Daphnia pulex: one gene and its partners. The main gene of each other region encodes a partner of the protein of the gene in region 2 in a complex. Links are inferred from orthologs where the notes say so. Each region holds a gene or a part of one and is shown on either strand. Other genes may lie near its edges.

What was found.
Region 1: telomerase Cajal body protein 1-like (region 2) and H/ACA ribonucleoprotein complex subunit 2-like protein share a complex: the UniProt entries of both Homo sapiens proteins name them as parts of the telomerase holoenzyme complex. The link is inferred for Daphnia pulex from reciprocal best matches to the Homo sapiens genes WRAP53 and NHP2.
Region 3: telomerase Cajal body protein 1-like (region 2) and H/ACA ribonucleoprotein complex subunit 4-like share a complex: the UniProt entries of both Homo sapiens proteins name them as parts of the telomerase holoenzyme complex. The link is inferred for Daphnia pulex from reciprocal best matches to the Homo sapiens genes WRAP53 and DKC1.

What each region holds. Positions count from the first base shown.
Region 1 is NC_060026.1:11,294,912-11,299,521, forward strand, and holds H/ACA ribonucleoprotein complex subunit 2-like protein, read left to right. Parts: upstream 1-2,239; 5' UTR 2,240-2,372; coding exon 2,373-2,553; intron 2,554-2,614; coding exon 2,615-2,687; intron 2,688-2,753; coding exon 2,754-2,985; 3' UTR 2,986-3,064; downstream 3,065-4,610. Other genes in the region: eukaryotic peptide chain release factor subunit 1, read right to left, coding at 59-279, 354-483, 623-813, 884-1,034, 1,093-1,220, 1,283-1,458, 1,582-1,661; exportin-7-like, read right to left, coding at 3,380-3,479, 3,548-3,938, 4,010-4,148, 4,208-4,330, 4,401-4,489, 4,568-4,610. UniProt on the Homo sapiens protein: Required for ribosome biogenesis and telomere maintenance. Part of the H/ACA small nucleolar ribonucleoprotein (H/ACA snoRNP) complex, which catalyzes pseudouridylation of rRNA.
Region 2 is NC_060026.1:14,513,884-14,520,232, forward strand, and holds telomerase Cajal body protein 1-like, read left to right. Parts: upstream 1-2,793; coding exon 2,794-3,353; intron 3,354-3,411; coding exon 3,412-3,548; intron 3,549-3,594; exon of another isoform or gene 3,595-3,642; coding exon 3,643-3,747; intron 3,748-3,849; coding exon 3,850-3,982; intron 3,983-4,113; coding exon 4,114-4,223; intron 4,224-4,447; coding exon 4,448-4,589; intron 4,590-4,819; coding exon 4,820-5,027; 3' UTR 5,028-5,164; downstream 5,165-6,349. Other genes in the region: diacylglycerol kinase delta-like, read right to left, coding at 639-749, 1,937-2,074. UniProt on the Homo sapiens protein: RNA chaperone that plays a key role in telomere maintenance and RNA localization to Cajal bodies. Specifically recognizes and binds the Cajal body box (CAB box) present in both small Cajal body RNAs (scaRNAs) and telomerase RNA template component (TERC).
Region 3 is NC_060025.1:6,907,752-6,913,926, reverse strand, and holds H/ACA ribonucleoprotein complex subunit 4-like, read left to right. Parts: upstream 1-2,237; 5' UTR 2,238-2,313; coding exon 2,314-2,326; intron 2,327-2,522; coding exon 2,523-2,662; intron 2,663-2,932; coding exon 2,933-3,149; intron 3,150-3,205; coding exon 3,206-3,321; intron 3,322-3,515; coding exon 3,516-3,765; intron 3,766-3,825; coding exon 3,826-3,986; intron 3,987-4,050; coding exon 4,051-4,290; intron 4,291-4,356; coding exon 4,357-4,460; intron 4,461-4,520; coding exon 4,521-4,665; intron 4,666-4,724; coding exon 4,725-4,862; intron 4,863-4,928; coding exon of another isoform or gene 4,929-4,931; exon of another isoform or gene 4,932-5,034; coding exon 5,035-5,091; 3' UTR 5,092-5,160; downstream 5,161-6,175. Other genes in the region: eukaryotic translation initiation factor 4E type 2-like, read right to left, coding at 613-655, 744-880, 941-1,093, 1,159-1,363, 1,430-1,482, 1,610-1,685, 1,750-1,778; chromatin complexes subunit BAP18-like, read right to left, coding at 5,188-5,461, 5,529-5,630, 5,694-5,754, 5,820-5,868.

The DNA of each region.
Region 1 (4,610 bases), about 3.2 Mb from region 2:
TAAAATTCCATGTTAAGACATTTTCTAAAATAATTATAAATAACAAATAGTTAATTACATCCTTGTCCGTGAAATGCGTGTTGTCTTTTTGCTGTTCGGGCGTTAAGTGCAGAACTTTGGTCGCTTCCGTACCGGGAATCTTGAGCATGTAGCGCATAATGTCCAAATTCTCCCAACAAATGAGAATTTCAACAGCGCCAAGTTCCAGTGCTTTCAGCGTATCGTCGACACCAAAGCAGTACTTGCCCGTATCCTGGCTGATTTCATCAAAGTATCGACCTACGTGAGAAGAAACATAACACCACCGTTAGGTTAACACATAAAAGGTAATTTAATCCAAAAAAACAACTAACCAATCAGCTTCTTTTCCTGGATAAACTTCACATTGGCAAGACTCTCTGCTGCAAGCTCGATTGCCTGGTTGAAGCCGTTTTCACCACCGTAAGAGATGTCGACCATCTTGATAATTTTGACTTGCAATCTCTATCAAAAGAAAGAAACCAGTTACAACTAGCGGGAATGAGAAAGGTAATACCAATCATGGAACTGAAATACGAGATTCTAGTCAGAGACCAAAGTCCAGATGATTTCGGTTTGTGAAATGTAATAACTGCTTGCTTACCGGATCGAACATATCCGATTGAGAGAGCTCCGTCTTGAAGTCAGCACTTCCTGCTAAGATGAGGCCTGCAGCCGTCACCTTATCGTTGGATATGAACATTTGAGTGGCTACCTCGGCCACTTTACGGACGTAATTGTGTCGCTTTTCCATACGTAAACGGGCGAAACGCAAGGCAGACTGACCACCACGTCCTACATAAACAGCGTCACATGAAATTATAGAATTCACAAAATAGCACCAATAATTAGAAATGATGCTTACCGTGCTTTTTGGGTAATTCGACAGTAAATTTATGTAAAACTTCTCTCGTGTTTCCTTGGAGTGTTCCAAACAACGCCCCGTTACCATCCATAATAATGAAACCAAATTTGTTATCGTCAGCTAACAATGCTGTCAAGGCTTCTGTATGGAACTGAATTCACTCATGATTTATCTTTGAAAACCTTAAAAATAACAAAAAAAAACCATACCTTGTTGTCACACAAATACAGTGATGTATTGATGGGCTTGAAAGGCTCAAAATCAATGTTCACTTTCTTCTCTTTACCCTCTTCTGTGACAATTGTTCCACAATATATGACCAAACCATTAGGGGGTACTGGCAAATCAAAGAAAATTATTAAGGTTAATCAAGAAACAAGCATAAATAACAACACATACCTTTGGCATACAGTTTTAATCTCTGTTGGACAGATGTGATGGCACCCAGGACAGAGAGCCTGTTTACTCGAGATTTAATATTGGAGGCAGTACCGAATTCATCAGCCAACATTTTGCTGATCCGAGCAATCTGATCTTTAGGAGGGATGATGAGCGAAATCATGCTTGTACCATTTCTAAAGAAGAAAGTGTTTCATTAAACTTTATTCACTTGTTGAGCAGTTGTTAAGCAACAGCTTGACATGCCCTGTCAATTACTGCCATAATTCTGAGACATGTTATCTCATGAGGCAAATTACCCTCTTGCAAGTTCCAAGCTTTTGATGAGTTTTTTGATCTTCCAGATCTCAACATTCCTATCTGCAGAGTTCTCCTCCATGACACTGGTTTAGGGGCTATAGGAAAGCAGCAAATAGATGAAACCTGAGTAAACCAATTACAGTTTAAATGAAAAGGTATAGTTTGTTAAAGTGGTCTTTATAGACGGTCGGCATGACAGAAAAATAGGAATTTGTCTATGACAGACGTGGTCACATCGAAAAACATGGCGACGACAGCTTTCTCTCAATATGAAATTCTTCATTTGCTCTTAAACAAGAAAGACAAATAGATAATTACCTCACTATAAAAAACAAGTGGGAATCTTTGTCGTGGACGAAAAAAAGGGTTTATAAAAATTACACGAGTTGCTCACGTAAAACACTTTCTCAGAACACCGCTTCACACCAGCACATGGGTCGTGGATTCCGTGATTTCGATATCGAAATAATTACAAGTAGGCTACGAAATCGATTTGATATTGGTCCACCAATTTGTCAAAATTTACCCAATTTTAAGTTTCCTATAAATTATTTGTCAATAAGAAACTATGAAAAGTATTATTATCGGCAGCATTTTTTAGTTTTTTATTATAAATGTCAAGGTTTCAGTTTACAAGTTGATGCTACGAGCTATTGGCAACGTCTAAATCCAGACGACGCGAAAGTCAAGAGCTAGGCAAAAAAATCGACGAGCTTGAAAACCACACGTGCTCATACTACCGTAGCTACTGCATTTAAGTTAACAGTTTAAATTTAAAACAAAAAGAAAAATGGCCAAGAAATCAAAGCAGGTTATCAAGGAAGAAGAAACCGATGCCATGGAAACATCACAGGTCGAGGGAAAATCAGACAAGAGTAGCTATGATGAGTTGATGAATCATGTCAGCATCATTGCTAAACCAATGGCTAGCAGGAAGCTCACTAAACGGATCTATAAACTTCTTAAGAAAGGTTAGTTAATTTTTTGGTTATATTTTCATTCAGTAAGTTCAAATATGTTTCTTGCTTCTAGCTGCCCCACACAAGGGATATGTGAGAAACGGCCTCAAGGATGTACAGAGAAGAATTCGACTAGGTGAAAAAGGGTAAATACAAAAAACAAAATCTTGTGATATTCTTAATGTGTTAACAAATTATTTTTCTTTTTTCAGGTTGGTCATTTTTGCTGGTGATGTTACTCCTGTAGATATTATGTGCCACATGCCTGCAGTGTGTGAAGAAAAGAATATTCCTTACATCTACACTCCATCAAGACTTGAACTTGGTCATTCTCTGGGACTGAAGCGAACATCTTTGATGGTGCTTATCAAAGAACATCCTGACTATCAAACTTCTTTTGATGAACTTGCTGCTGAACTTAAAACCATCCCTCCTCAATGTTAATGAATTCCTCTTTCATCCAAGCTCCTTCATCAGTCATACTAATTTGACATTGAAAATGATTACACTTTTTCAGAATTTGGATGCTTTTTTTTCAGAATTCACATTTTTACTCCATACATCACTGTCGACTCATTTCCTCATCTTGGTTACACAGAAAGTAAAGCAAAAAAAAAGTGACTTGGGTGGATGTGATACAAAATTAGCCTTGTTGCAAGCAAAAAACAACAAAAAGGTGGAGCATACGAAAGTGGGTTCAATACTTTCATGCAACACTGATACGCCTGTGAAACATTCCATGATGATAACTTGGTGTGGACTCTTCACTAATTGATGAAAAAGATAATAAACGAACGTCATCCGCGAAGGAACAAGAAGTTCGATTGAATGAGGTTTGCTAAGTCATCATGTCGTTGTTGGATATCAATGGGTTATTCACTGGTCCTTTCAACGATTCGTTAACATCTCGCCGGAAGAGTGATAGGTTTTGCGTAAATCTGAAATTTGTTGAATGAAGAAATATAGAATAATAACTTTTAAAAGGAAACAAAATTTACAAGTTTACCTGTCTCGGTTTTTGGCGGTGACATTCCTCTCGATTCCGTCCATCAAGTTGTCGAACCACTGAGCCATAAGGCTCTGCTTGTCGACTGGCTGACTGCGAATGATGGATTGACGCAATTGGCCAAAATAGTCTTCGTTCAACAAAATGAGGCCAAGCAAAGGACGGGACATGGAATACTGATTTCGGCATTCTTCAAACATAACGATGTTCAAGATACAACTCAGCATCTGTTGCAGTAGTTCTGGTCGGATTTCCATCAAACGAATGAGTTGCGCACCCTGCTGCTGTTCTACAACCTTTCGAGCCTTTTTGCCTTTAGCCGTCAACTGGCGAAAGACGTAGGTTACGATATGATCTAGCGTATTGCAGCAGCCCGTGCAGATCATGGTATCTATTGGTGGAATTTTCTCGTTACATTGAGTTCGATTACCATTCATTAAAATATTTACTGTTCAAATATACCTAGTGCAGTGAGGCCTTCTTGGACAGTCGAGAGAATGTATAGGAAAACATGCGGCTCTAACGAGCTGAGAAACACCATGTGATCTTGAGCAAGACACTCCAACAACACATAGTAGGTCTGACTCAACTTTGGATAAGCCTATTTACAGAAGTAATATTTAGATACTGTAATGTTAAACCAATAGGGACTTTACTTACTAAGAGATCACTTTGTGGTATAGACATGAGCATTTTGACGAAAGTGCCAAGAGCGTCGTCTAGGGCAGTATCGCCATAGAGACGGAAGACTCCGAAGTTAACATATCCGCCACACAAAGCTGCCTGTAATGCAGGTTTACATACGTTAGAAAAAAAAAGTTTCTTTTGAGAGACAGAATAAATTATTGTTCACCTTAAGCAGAGAAAAACACACTGAGATGCCTTTAAATTTTGCAGCGTAAATTTGTTCTTTGGGCACTTCAACACTCAAAATTCGACCACCTAAATGAAGGAATGAAACCGCAATTAATTTAGCTCGATCATAATCCCCCCCCCCCAAAAAAAAAAAAAATGTTATACCGTATGAGCAGAGAACTTTTGAGGCCTCACGGAATAGTAGGAC
Region 2 (6,349 bases):
CAATAGACCGTGACAAGAAAAATCAAACAACTGGTACTTCAATCTTCTCCCCCGAGAAGAGCTGATGTTCTCCGATGGATCTGCATGGAGATTTGCCCGTTGGCGCCACCACCTGCCAGATTGTATTATCGATTTTGTTCAGACAACAACAAGGACCCTAGCCCCGGCTGTACGCCTGTCAATAAGAGACTACTACTACTACTCTCGGCCGGCAGTTGTCGATGTGCAACGGGTTACACCAACAACAGGCGTTTCGTGCACTACGCAAAAAAGGAGTGGCCGACACACAACCAGGCAAAAAAAAAGCAAAAGAGAAAAGGATTCAGATCGATGGCTCCTGGCACCCTACCATGTTACTCTCCAACGCAAAAAAAAAAGGAATAATAAAGAGAATTAATAAAACAGATACAAACAGAGAGAGAGAAATAAAAGAACGTGAAAAACAAAAAGGAGTGAAAGCGCGACACACGGTGAAAGGAATGTGCTGTTGGTGGTTGTTGATCGGGTAACCGGATCGAGGGCAGATCGATTTCCTTTTTTTTTCACTTTCTCTCTCACTCTCTCAGTCTTTTCTGACCCTGTCTTGTCTTCGGCTGTGAGCTCGATAAATTATTGATAAATTATGTGTATACGCATACCTTGGTATCCTTTGCATAGTAAAGAGTCCGCCCTTTGAGTTTGAAGTATCGTCTGCGCCATCGCTGGAACGACGACGTCTGCTTCATGAGGAATCCTTCGCGAGTGCAGACCTGTGACAATGAAAAAGATATGAAGACTAGTGGTGGTGGGAACTGGTTGTAGGTCAATGGGCTGACACTCGCAATCAAGTGACAAGCCCCATGTGTGTGCGTGCGTGTATGTTTTAGGAGAGTCTGGGCCGCCGCCCATTCAATCTAAAGAGTTGGACAGGGAAGGACGCAGCTAGCTACCCATTGAAGGGATCCCAAGGAAAAAAAGGGAACAATTACTTTTCATTTGACGAGACGGACAGACACGACCCGACGGCTTTGTTGGCTTAGGTCCAAGGATCGATACCGAGTGGAAATCCCGCGTATGTATATGTACACATAGGCCCGGGAGGGAATAAAAAAAAAAGGGAACGAACGAAAAACTAGGCCAACCGATGGGGGTGTGGAAGAGAGGGCTTTTTTCGTTACTCCCCCGACAAGCCTCCCCCCTTTTCTATGGCTCATCACGCACCCATGCGGAAGCGAACAAAAGCCACGGGCCCAATGCTTCCGTGGCTAAAAGCCAACCTCAAAAACTTTGACGAGGAAGGATGCTGGAAGACTTTTAAAGATGGACAATTTTCTTTTGAAAAGAAAAATATGCTGTTAGTGGGGGGAGTGTGTGTTTTTCTTTCGTGCTGAATCACCGCAGCTGTATACTACTAGGGTACTACTCTGCACGTTGGGTAAAAGGAGATCGATAATTGGATGCCGGATTTGGCGGGAGAGAGAGAGGGGATTTGCCGAAATGCTTTGCACTGTTGCTAAATCACGAGGGAGGGAAACTCCCTATTTTCTTCGCCGCTAAGGCGGTCGACATGATGGGCGTTGGAAATCTCACGCTGCCTAATGAATCGCTTCATGTTATATTACCTGTAACATTGGACGCCCAGAATTCAAAAAGTACAATGCGAATATATAGACAATGGCCATCTTTTATGAGGATTAAGGGATGTCTCACTATTTTAATATTTCCTTTGCTTACACATTTTTTATCTTTCCCCCTACTTGTCGGTACAATAGGGAGCTTCAACAATAGACAGTGCAATATTCTGTGTCTTTGTTCTTCGCATTTCCATCTATTCACTGCGCATCAGTCTGGCTGTGATTAGCTGCTTGGGTGGGCTACAATTCTGTGTTGCCATTGATTGTCGAGACAGCTGAAAGAAAAAGCCTGCTAATTTGCAAAGAAGAATATGCTTATTTACCGATGATTTGATGTTCTTGTTGGTGGAGAATCTGCGGTGGAAGGATTTGGCTGGCTCAGTCTCTCCATCGCTTTCAGAGGAGTCATCACCCACTGCTGAGACAGGCTTCGTGGAGATGGTAGTTTCATTTGCCGCCATAAGACTGAAGAGATGGTGATCAGCTTTCTAGACTCTCCTATGACCAGAGAAATGGGGCAGGGTTGGCCACTTCGCTTCCTTAAGGTTTCGACACCTCGGTGAAATGATGGCGAGAAACCTTCTTGTTTACTCTGCGACAAACAAGCACAACACCCCGTAAAACATAATATCAAACCATCAGGCACCATATGGAACCTTCCACGGGCAAATCTTTCCAAGCTGCGATCAGGAGGCCCAACTCATTTGCCTTTTCTTTCCCCAGTGCTTCTCAATGGGATATTTGTCGAAAACTTTTTTTCAGACTGAAAGTAACAGGCAAGAGAGGGAAAGCAGCCGAATCCCAAAACGCCCTGCAATATGATAATGAAAATTCATTCAGTCTTAATTGGCCGCCGCTAGATGGCACGTAAAATATTGTGAAAACACGATTTTCTTGAATTTATTTTCAAGAAATAATTCAGGGAAATTCCCACTACGTAATTTGATAAGGCAAAAATACGCACATTGTGGTCGGCTTTATATGAAAGTGGCTACTTTTTATTTGCAGTAGAGTAAACAAAGTTTCTGCAACTCTAGTTGGTGGTTGCCAAACCTTTTCGGCTGTTGCAGACGACAATGTTTGAAATGTCAATATTTAAAAATTCTTGTTGCATCAACAACATCACGTGGTTTCTTTTAAATTGTTGCTTCTTGCTTTACCTTCATGATATTCTAAAGTGATGGAATCTGCAATGGAAGAGGTTTCAAGTGAAATGGCTCATGATGGCGAGCCACCAAGTGTGTTACAAGAAGACGTGGTTGAAGGCGTTGTCGAACTGCAGGAAGCTGTGGTTGTTGAGGAGGTTGCACTTCAGGAAACAATTGCCGAACCGGTGTACTATCCTGAGTATCAGTTTGATACGCAGTGGACACTAATTTGTGGAACTAAAAAGGAATTTGAAAATAACAAATCACAAGGATTTTTGAAAGGTTGTAAATGGTCACCTGATGGAACGTGCCTTTTGACATGTGCTGATGACGGCCTTCTGAGGCTGTTTGATCTGCCTGCTGATCTCTACAACAGCCACAAGACAACCTTCCAGGGATGTTCCACGACTGAGCTTTCACCATCTTTGAGGATCAAAGAAGGAGAAATCATCTATGACTACTGCTGGCACCCCCATATGTCTTCATGGAATCCAGAAACATGCCTGCTGGCTAGCTCATCCAAAGGCAGTCCAACTCACCTGTGGGATGCTTACAAAGGAAGTTTGGCAGCCACATACCGAGCTTACAATAAGTAATAAATAAAAACCCTTGTTAATTATTTGAGATTTTTTTAAAATTTGAATTGAAAGCGTCGACGAAGTAGAAGCAGCCAACAGTTTGTGCATCAGTCCAGACGGAGAAAAATTGTATTGCGGTTTTGACAAGTGCGTTCGTGTCTTTGACGTCCAGGTGCCAGGCAGAAATTGCCAAATCCGTCTGACCAAATGTGAGAATAATAATTCAGTTCGGTTAAACGAAAGTTTTTTTGATACATTGTTGTATACGTAATCATGTTCATTTTGTATGTCGACATCGACCAGCTACCGATGGATTGTCAGCAAGCCAATCGGGAATTATATCGTGCATCGCGGTGAACGCGGCCCTTCCCTCGGTTTACGCGGCTGCTAGTTATCTGAAAACGATCGGTAATAATAATAATCATAATAACTGAAGTGATATCCTACGTAATGACGAAACCAAACGACTGGATGCGGTTACATATCATTACACTCACACATATTACACAGGATTGTATTCGGAGCCTGAAGGCACGGCCCTGTGTGTCTTGGAGGGCCATCGAGGAGGCGTAACTCATCTCAAATTCTCTCCCGACGGTATGGTATTGTACAGTGGAGGAAGAAAAGATCCGGAGATACTATGGTACGTATCTACGTATATTATCCAATTCCTAGTTGACTCAATAAAAAATGATAATAAATATAGAAACCCCTACGAGTATAGTAGACGTACGTAAATTTTTACCCCTTTTTTTTGTTTGTTTCTTTGCACAGTTGGGATCTACGCAATCCAGGTCAGGTGCTCTACACTATGAACAGGACGGTTGAGACGAACCAGCGAATCTATTTCGATTTGGATCCCAGCGGGCATTACCTCATCAGTGGTACGGCAAAACTTTCCCCGAATCGGGTCCAAAGAACTCGTTGGATTACGCCATGATGGCGCCGCATCTTCCATGTTTAATCGGCTTTTCCACCAAGAAGCCGGGAGGGCGGGCTTAGAATATGCATACAATAATCATGCCTACTACCTTGCCTTCGCCGCTGCGTTTGTGTGTTTCCAATTTTTCTTTTATTGTAATTTTTTTATTTATTTTTCCCACAACAGGAGACACGAGCGGCTGCGTGACAATTTGGGACACCCAAATGGGAGTGGAAACGAGCGCTAGCGAAAGTCCTTTGTTGTCCATGAAATCGCTGCCGGAAAGGTTTCGTTGCAGAGTGAACGACGACTGTACGAACGGTGTCAGGTGAGAGCTTCGACTAATTTTGAATCGCAAGGCCGTTTGGTCGTGTTCAGTTGTTGATGCAACAACGCCAAAAGAGTTATTACGCAGTCCGCACTTGAGGCCAAGTCAATGACTTTCACTCTTTTTTTTTATTATTATCTTCTCTGCGATCATTAGCTCCCCCATATTCTATTTGATTATTATTTTTGGACTTATTTTTCTAAATTTCTATTCTTTGCATAATTATTCAGCTTTCATCCATGGCTGCCCTTAGTGGCCACTAGTTCCGGCCAGCGGCATCTAACCTGTCGGCTCGACGATTCAGTTCACGACAGTAGCGGCAGCGAGTCGTCCGACTGTGAAATCGATGACGAGCCTTCAGCACGGCACCAATCGAGGGAGAACTCTGTCAAGCTGTGGTGGGCCGGCAACTACAACACCGACCACCAAGAGGCGTAATTACCATACACTGACATTACTGTCAAATTTTCTCTGACAAAATGGTCGCTTCTAATGTGAACATGCAACAGCGGCCGTCATTCATTTTCTTCCTCTAATGTAAAGCCTAAAATTTCAAATAAAAGTCGAGAATGGAACGTGTGTGTGTCGTAGCTTAAGAGAAAACAAAGTGAAAATGAGAGAAAAGAATCCACCAAAATTGAAAACAAAGGACAAAATTCGCACGCTAAGAGCGGCGAATCTGGTGCCGTCGGAGCTTCAGATCAAGAGTGAATCGAGAACTGCTGGTGTGTGTAGGGATAGAAAGCGTTCATTGAGGATTTTGGACGAAGAAGAAAAAAAACCCCGCCACATTCTCGCGGTTTTTTAGTTGGTTAAGGCTTATCGGTTTCCACAGGAATTAAAATTAGAGAATCTTCTTTTGAGCCGATAGAGTGAAACTTCTTTTTTATTTCGCTAATCCACGCCATTTGTCTTTTTTTGGAAGAGAAAAGCCAAACGTCGATCGGGCAATAAAAATGGGATGCCCTGCAAGGGGCAGAAACTAATTAATGATTGGGCAACAACTTGGGTTATTGCATTAAACAGGCACGCACAAAAGTGCTTTTTGTTGGGCACACATAATTTCCTTTTCGAGTTTGGGGGCGAGCACGAACTTCCAACGTCGCAATTAGACCATCTGCCGCTTGTTCTTATTCGGGGCTAGCCGACAAGCAGGACCCTGCGCACAACTGCTGACGTTTTATATATATCTAATGTCTAATGTTGTGTCTGCACAGTACTATGGGCGAATAATGTATTGTTTTCTTATTTCTTTGCTTATTGCACACTCGGCGGGATATGTGTTTTTTCTTCTACTATAAGTCGGGTACGTACACATGTATTACAACTCCATTATCATCAGATATTGAAGATAGAAGTACTTCCCATTTTGGCCCCGACTCGGAAAATTCACTAAACCGGAAAAATAAAAACTAAAAATTCCAAGAAGAAGAAGAAGAAAAAACTTTCTCGCGATTTCAACTCGCACAATAAGGTACGTAGACCACCGCTGTCATAAACAATTTTTTCCCACTTTTTTCTCTCTTGTTTCTTCCTTGCAATGTTCACTTGAGAAGTGACCCAATTACCTTTTTTTCTCGTTCAAATGTTTCTTACCCACATTAACGGCCCTTTAAACAAGGTGAGAGTCTTTTTTTTTTCCTTTTTAGTCCGCCGGAATACGGAATGGTTTTGCCTCCTTTTTTTTTGAAATAAAGCTGATGGACGATATGAGTTCTTGTCAGCTTTCGGTTATTTCGGTTTTGTCTCGGAACAACAAA
Region 3 (6,175 bases), on a different chromosome or scaffold from region 2:
CTTTCCATTTTCCTCTTTTGTTAATTTCAGTATTATATTTCGCAATCTATTTCACCGTGAAACCTTGTTTATCGTAAATCACTACTTACAATTCCGAATCGAAGTATCACCAGCAAAATTTTGACGTTCGTCGAGCGGTGAGCTACAATGGATGTTGATTTTTGATTTCCACTTTTCTCATTTAATATAACCGTTCATCACCCTATTCCACATACATTACGCATGTTTCTCACCTGAAAAATCTAGCGCATTTCTTAATTCTAGGCTGAATGTACTACTCCGTGTTAGTAGCATCTCAAGCTAATAAATCAACCGTCTGTCAAATGTGTGGTTTTGAGGAAAAATCAATTAACAACAAATAGTTTCACCACAAGCTCCCATGCTTTACAGTGTAAAGCTAATAAGTAATCATTACAACATTTGACGCTTAAGTTGGTTCTTCCATAAAAGTATTGAATAAACTCGTATTTAGAGATTATTCAACGAAGAATGTTAGACACATTTGAATCAAACTTTTATAAAGCTAGAAATAACAGTATCGGTAATGAACACCGTGACCAGGTCAACTTTCAACTTATTTATATTCCGCTTGAGATGTAAAATATTGTGTCTTTATCGGACAAAGACATCGGTATTCCGAAAACTGGAATTGTCCCTGGAGATTTGAAGGGAGAAGAGGTAGAGGAAAGAAAGAGAAAAAGATTATGAATTCTCATTTGAATGGCGAGACCACCATTCCGTACTTTAGAGAATCCGTGTGGTTTTTGTATTCAAGTATTGTGTTCGGTGGAAGGTTTAAGACTCGACGAAGTGTATCTCGAATTCGGTTGGTAGTAGCCTGATCACTTGCAATTCGATTCCATACCGAAATAATATCCTCCTAAAATATATATATTTATATAAATTATATGATTTTTAACACAAAAAACATTTTTCTTACAGCAAATCGAATTGAGACGACAGCTCCACATATTTCGTCGCCTACCATAAATTGTTCGCCTAACATAGCTAATATTAAGTTCTCCCAACAACGTGAGGCTAAACCTTTTCGAAGACGCACAATCCATTTACCACCACAACGATTGGCATCATCCTGTTGGGAAAAAAAAGTAGGTTAATAAACACTTCACCACCCTTATTATTATTTAATAATACAACCTCCCACATTGGTTTGATTCCATCTTTAAATAAATGAAAGTCACTGTGACCAGAGAGTTCACAAGGCCTGACCAGATGGCAATAGTATGACCAAAACTGTTCTACAGAAGCAAAACGTCCAACCATTCTTAGATTCTGATCAAAGCTTTGGGGTGCTGCATGTTTTCCAGGAGCTCTCCGACTAAACCACAAACAGTATGTGTATCTAAAAACAAATGGTATTTCTATAATTAACATGTACTAATAAAAGTAATATCATTTTCATGTGTACTGGAGTGGATGTTCTTCTCGAGGAACTTGAATGGGTTGCTGAAAAAAATTAACCTTTAAATTAGTAGGAAAAAATGGGTAAGTGAGCACATAAATTCGTCTATCGCAATTATCACATCATTAACATAGAGTTAATAGATATTACAATAATTTTTTGTGTATTATGCAGTTAATATCTCACCAAAATTAAATCCTTTTTCTTTCTTTCTTCACTGAATGAAGTTTCGTCGTCATCACTGTCTTCGCTGTTGTTCAACCTGTCGAAAAGCAACAAAGTAAACGCAAATTCTATTAAAACATGTATAAAATTTGAAAACTTACGCATCAAATTTATTGTTATTAAGGGCCATTTGTAAATAGTTTACGAAATCGGAGTGTTACAGTCAAATTGTTCACTTAATTTATACACCAATTTGCAGCATGTAGTAGAAAGACTAAAGAAAGAAACAAGCAGTATGTCCAGAAATGTTGTACAAATTTTAGATGGTGAAAACACTAAACAGTACCCACACTATAGAGTAGCGAAAAATTGCCACCAGTTGCCACCAGGTGACCTTCAAGAGGTTTTGGCGCCACACACTAGAGTACCCTTCCCAAAGCCAAAGCGCCACGGCCCACGGGAGAAAGATGTTATAGTTATTGTAACTTCTAATGTAATGGTAATAAAGAGATAATTTGAACCATTGAATTTTAAAATCAAGTAAAATATTGGAAATACATGTCATAGCAGAAAAAGTGACTTCGTGATTAATTTTTTTCCAAAAATAAGAATCAAAAATCAAATGGCAACGCTCAACACTTCCGCTCATTGGTTTCTTTTTTTGTAGCAGAGGTTTTTCAACACATTAGATCAAAGACAGGACTTCGAACCACGTGTGAAGCACGATGCATTCATCTGGTAAGCGCCATCACATAATATAAATTTTACAAGCTAGTTATAGGGATCGATTATGTGTTTTCACATGGAAAAGATGCATTGTAGTTTGCTGCACAAATAGTATGATTCGAAATTTACATTAATTTGGTTAATTCTGTGATCTACGGATTAATGTTGGTAACACGTGTCGGTTAATGTTAGCATTCCTGTGTTTCAGAAGTCCTAGGAGAGAAACAAAGTGGAAAGAAGTCAAGAAAGTCCTTGGGAGATATTCAAGGAGATTCAGACTTTGTGTTGGAGCCATCAGAAAAACCAGTAGCAAAATTGGACTGTTCACAATGGCCGCTGTTACTAAAGGTATGTTGTTAAATATTAAATTAAATGTAGATGTTCTCAAAATAATTTATTTTAGTATCTATCTATACAAGCATTATGCTAAGAATGCTAATGATTAATTTATCGAAAGTAGTGGACTGAAAAGACTGAAGACACTCAAAGATAATGAAGCATTTAAAACTAAATTCTTAAAATTTTTCTAGTTTGAAACTTGATCTTTATAGATATTAATTTTTCCCTTGTTATTTATTAAGAAATGTGAACATTTTCTAAATCATCTTTTTTTTTCAGAATTTTGACAAGTTAAACACAAGGACAAATCATTATACACCTCTTCCAAGTGGTTGTTCACCATTGAAGAGGCCAATTAAAGATTATATTCATGGCGGTTTTATTAATCTTGACAAGCCATCTAACCCAAGCTCTCACGAAGTAGTTGCCTGGATTAAGAGGATTCTAAGATGTGAAAAGACGGGTCATTCAGGAACATTGGACCCTAAAGTTACAGGTATGTTGATAGCACTCAGAAAATCCCATGGACTTTACTAATTGAATATTATACAGGGTGTTTGATTGTTTGCATTGATCGTGCTACAAGGCTGGTCAAATCTCAGCAGGGAGCTGGCAAAGAGTATGTTGCCATATTTAAGCTTCATTCTGCAGTTGAAGATAACAATCAGGTAGTTTCTTGACCCTTCTAGTTGAAAGCCTTATGCTAAAGATGCTAATGATTAATTTATCGAAAGTAGTGGACTGAAATGACTGAAGATAATTAAAGATAATGAAGCATTTAACTGAATTCTGTTAATTTTTTAAGTTAGAAACTTGATCTTTATAAATACTAATTTTGTATATATTTTTTTTATTTATTAAGATTCCTCGAGCTCTTGAGAAGTTGACTGGAGCTTTGTTTCAGCGTCCACCACTGATCTCGGCTGTTAAGCGACAACTTCGTGTGCGAACCATTTACGAGAGTAAATTTTACGAGTACGATGCCGAGAGACAAATGGGTATCTATTGGGTTAGCTGTGAAGCCGGAACTTACGTTCGTACCCACTGTGTCCATCTCGGTTTGGTGCTAGGCGTAGGAGCTCAGATGGCGGAACTCAGAAGAGTTCGTTCTGGTAAGCCAGGAAGTTTCTTTTTGTGTGTGTTCTTAAGATGAAGATTTTATTTTTTATAAGGTATCCAAAGTGAAAAAGAAGGGTTAATGACTATGCACGATGTAATCGATGCGCAGTGGTTACATGATAATCATAAGGACGAAACATATCTGCGGCGGGTTATTCGTCCATTAGAGGCATTGATGATGTCTCACAAGCGAATAATCATGAAAGACAGTGCTGTAAGTGTGTTAATATTTATCTATAATATTCTTTATAATAATGTGTTAAAAAAATATATAACAGGTTAATGCCGTTTGCTATGGAGCTAAAATCATGTTGCCTGGTGTATTGCGGTACGAAAATGGTATCGAACTAAATGAAGAGATTGTTATAGTAACAACCAAAGGAGAAGCAGTGGCTCTCGCCATTGCTTTGATGACGACAACAACCATGGCTTCATGTGACCATGGTATTGTTGCCAAAATTAAACGTGTTGTCATGGAGCGTGACACTTATCCCAGGAAATGGGGACTTGGACCTAAAGTAAAAATTGATATAGTTTACATTGGCGTTACTTGTATGTATATGTATGTATTTGTTTAATTTTAGGCTTCCGTCAAGAAGGGTATGGTGAAACAGGGACTCTTGGATAAGTTTGGCAAACCTAATGACAAGACACCTAAAGATTGGTTGACATCTTATGTAGACCTAAAGTATGTAATTCAACGCAGTATTTGTATCAAATTTTTCAATAATATTATATTTTTCTGTAGCGTTAAAAAAGAAAAGGTTGAACCAACTGAAGATGCTGAGGCACGAAAAAGAAAGTTAAGTGAAACGAGCGCCGTTGCTGATCCGTTGTCAGAATCCATGACGGAAACCAAGGAGAAGAAGAAGAAGAAAAAGGACAAAGACCGGGTAAGTGTTTATACTCTTGTGAAATAATGATGTCTTAATCATTTATGGATGATTTTCAGGAGCCGCAGGGTAATGAAAGCATTCTTGATGCCACCGTAGAATCGGTTCCTGAAACCAAAGAGAAGAAAAAGAAGAAGAAAGATAAAACAGCTGAAAATGAAGACCTTTCAATTGCAGTGGACACATCAACAATCAAGGTAAATTAAACTTGTCAATTAATTTTTTTTTTAAACAAAGGTGTCGTGATTATTTAATGAAAGTAGTGAACGGAATATTTCTGACGAAAATTACCTAAATGAAAACATACTGCAAATATTATTCGCCGAGTAATTTGGTATGCATTAGTAATGTGAACATATTTCTATTTAGGAGGAGTCTGCCAAGAAAAAAAAGAAAAAGAAAGATGTCGATCGGGAAGATGATTAATTATAATTGAAATAATTTGTAATATTATGTTTGCAAGAAAATTCGAAAATACAATTCATTTCATTTTTATGCTGTGTATTAATTTATCAGAAAGTTTCAAGATGTGACAACTTCATTTGCTCCTTCAAAATTTAACCCTTCAACATCAACTTCATTTTCAGAGGCATTTAACATGTTCAATGTCACTTCAGCTGTTGACTTGTTATTAATCATTTGGGGCTGTTGTTGAACAACTACAACTGCTTGCTGAGGACTTGAATTAATATTCTGGAGTGGACTTGGTTGAACAACTGGTTGGCTGATGACTTTGGACAAAGGAATACCTGCTGCCTCAAAAGTTTTTTTCTTCAAACTACCATGAATTTGTGTCCTAATAAATAGAAGCAAATAAAATTTGAAATTTGAACACTGACATATGATTTTTGCAATCAACTTACACTGTCTTGTCTTTAATATGTTCAGAAATCTTTTCAAGATCTTCTCCAAAGCGCTTAATGGAACTTCTCAACATTTCAATTTCATCTTCACTCCATTTTGACCTGTATAAGAAAAAATTAAAAATACAACAGTGTTACAAAAGTAAATTACTTTAAATTATTTACCCAGCATTGGCATTTTCTGAGGAATGTAGCTGCATGGTCAATTTCCCCAACGTACTGAAAGCTAAGAAAAATAATGGCTGAAATCACTCATTCAACAATTACCTACATACACCATGTGTATTTTACCTAATCCTGCAGCTCCAAATATATCGGCAACCTTATTAGCAGAGTTCATTCTTGTGCACTTTTACAAACAACTAACCCAGAAAATTCACCACAAAGTCAATTATTTGGTATAAAAAAACATAATTTCCCGTAGGGATTCTAGTCACAGTCGAAGGAGGCTCAGTTTTGACACGCCACCGCTGCAATTCAAACTGCAAAATTCAATTGCAGTAATTAGACACTTAAATTTACGTAATTGTGACAACAATCACGCAAATTTTTGTAGGCATTTGATTAAACAAAGAAATCTCTTTAAAATGGATCACATTTTACGAAGATATAATAGATTTATTTTTTAAAACAGCGATTCTAAGTCA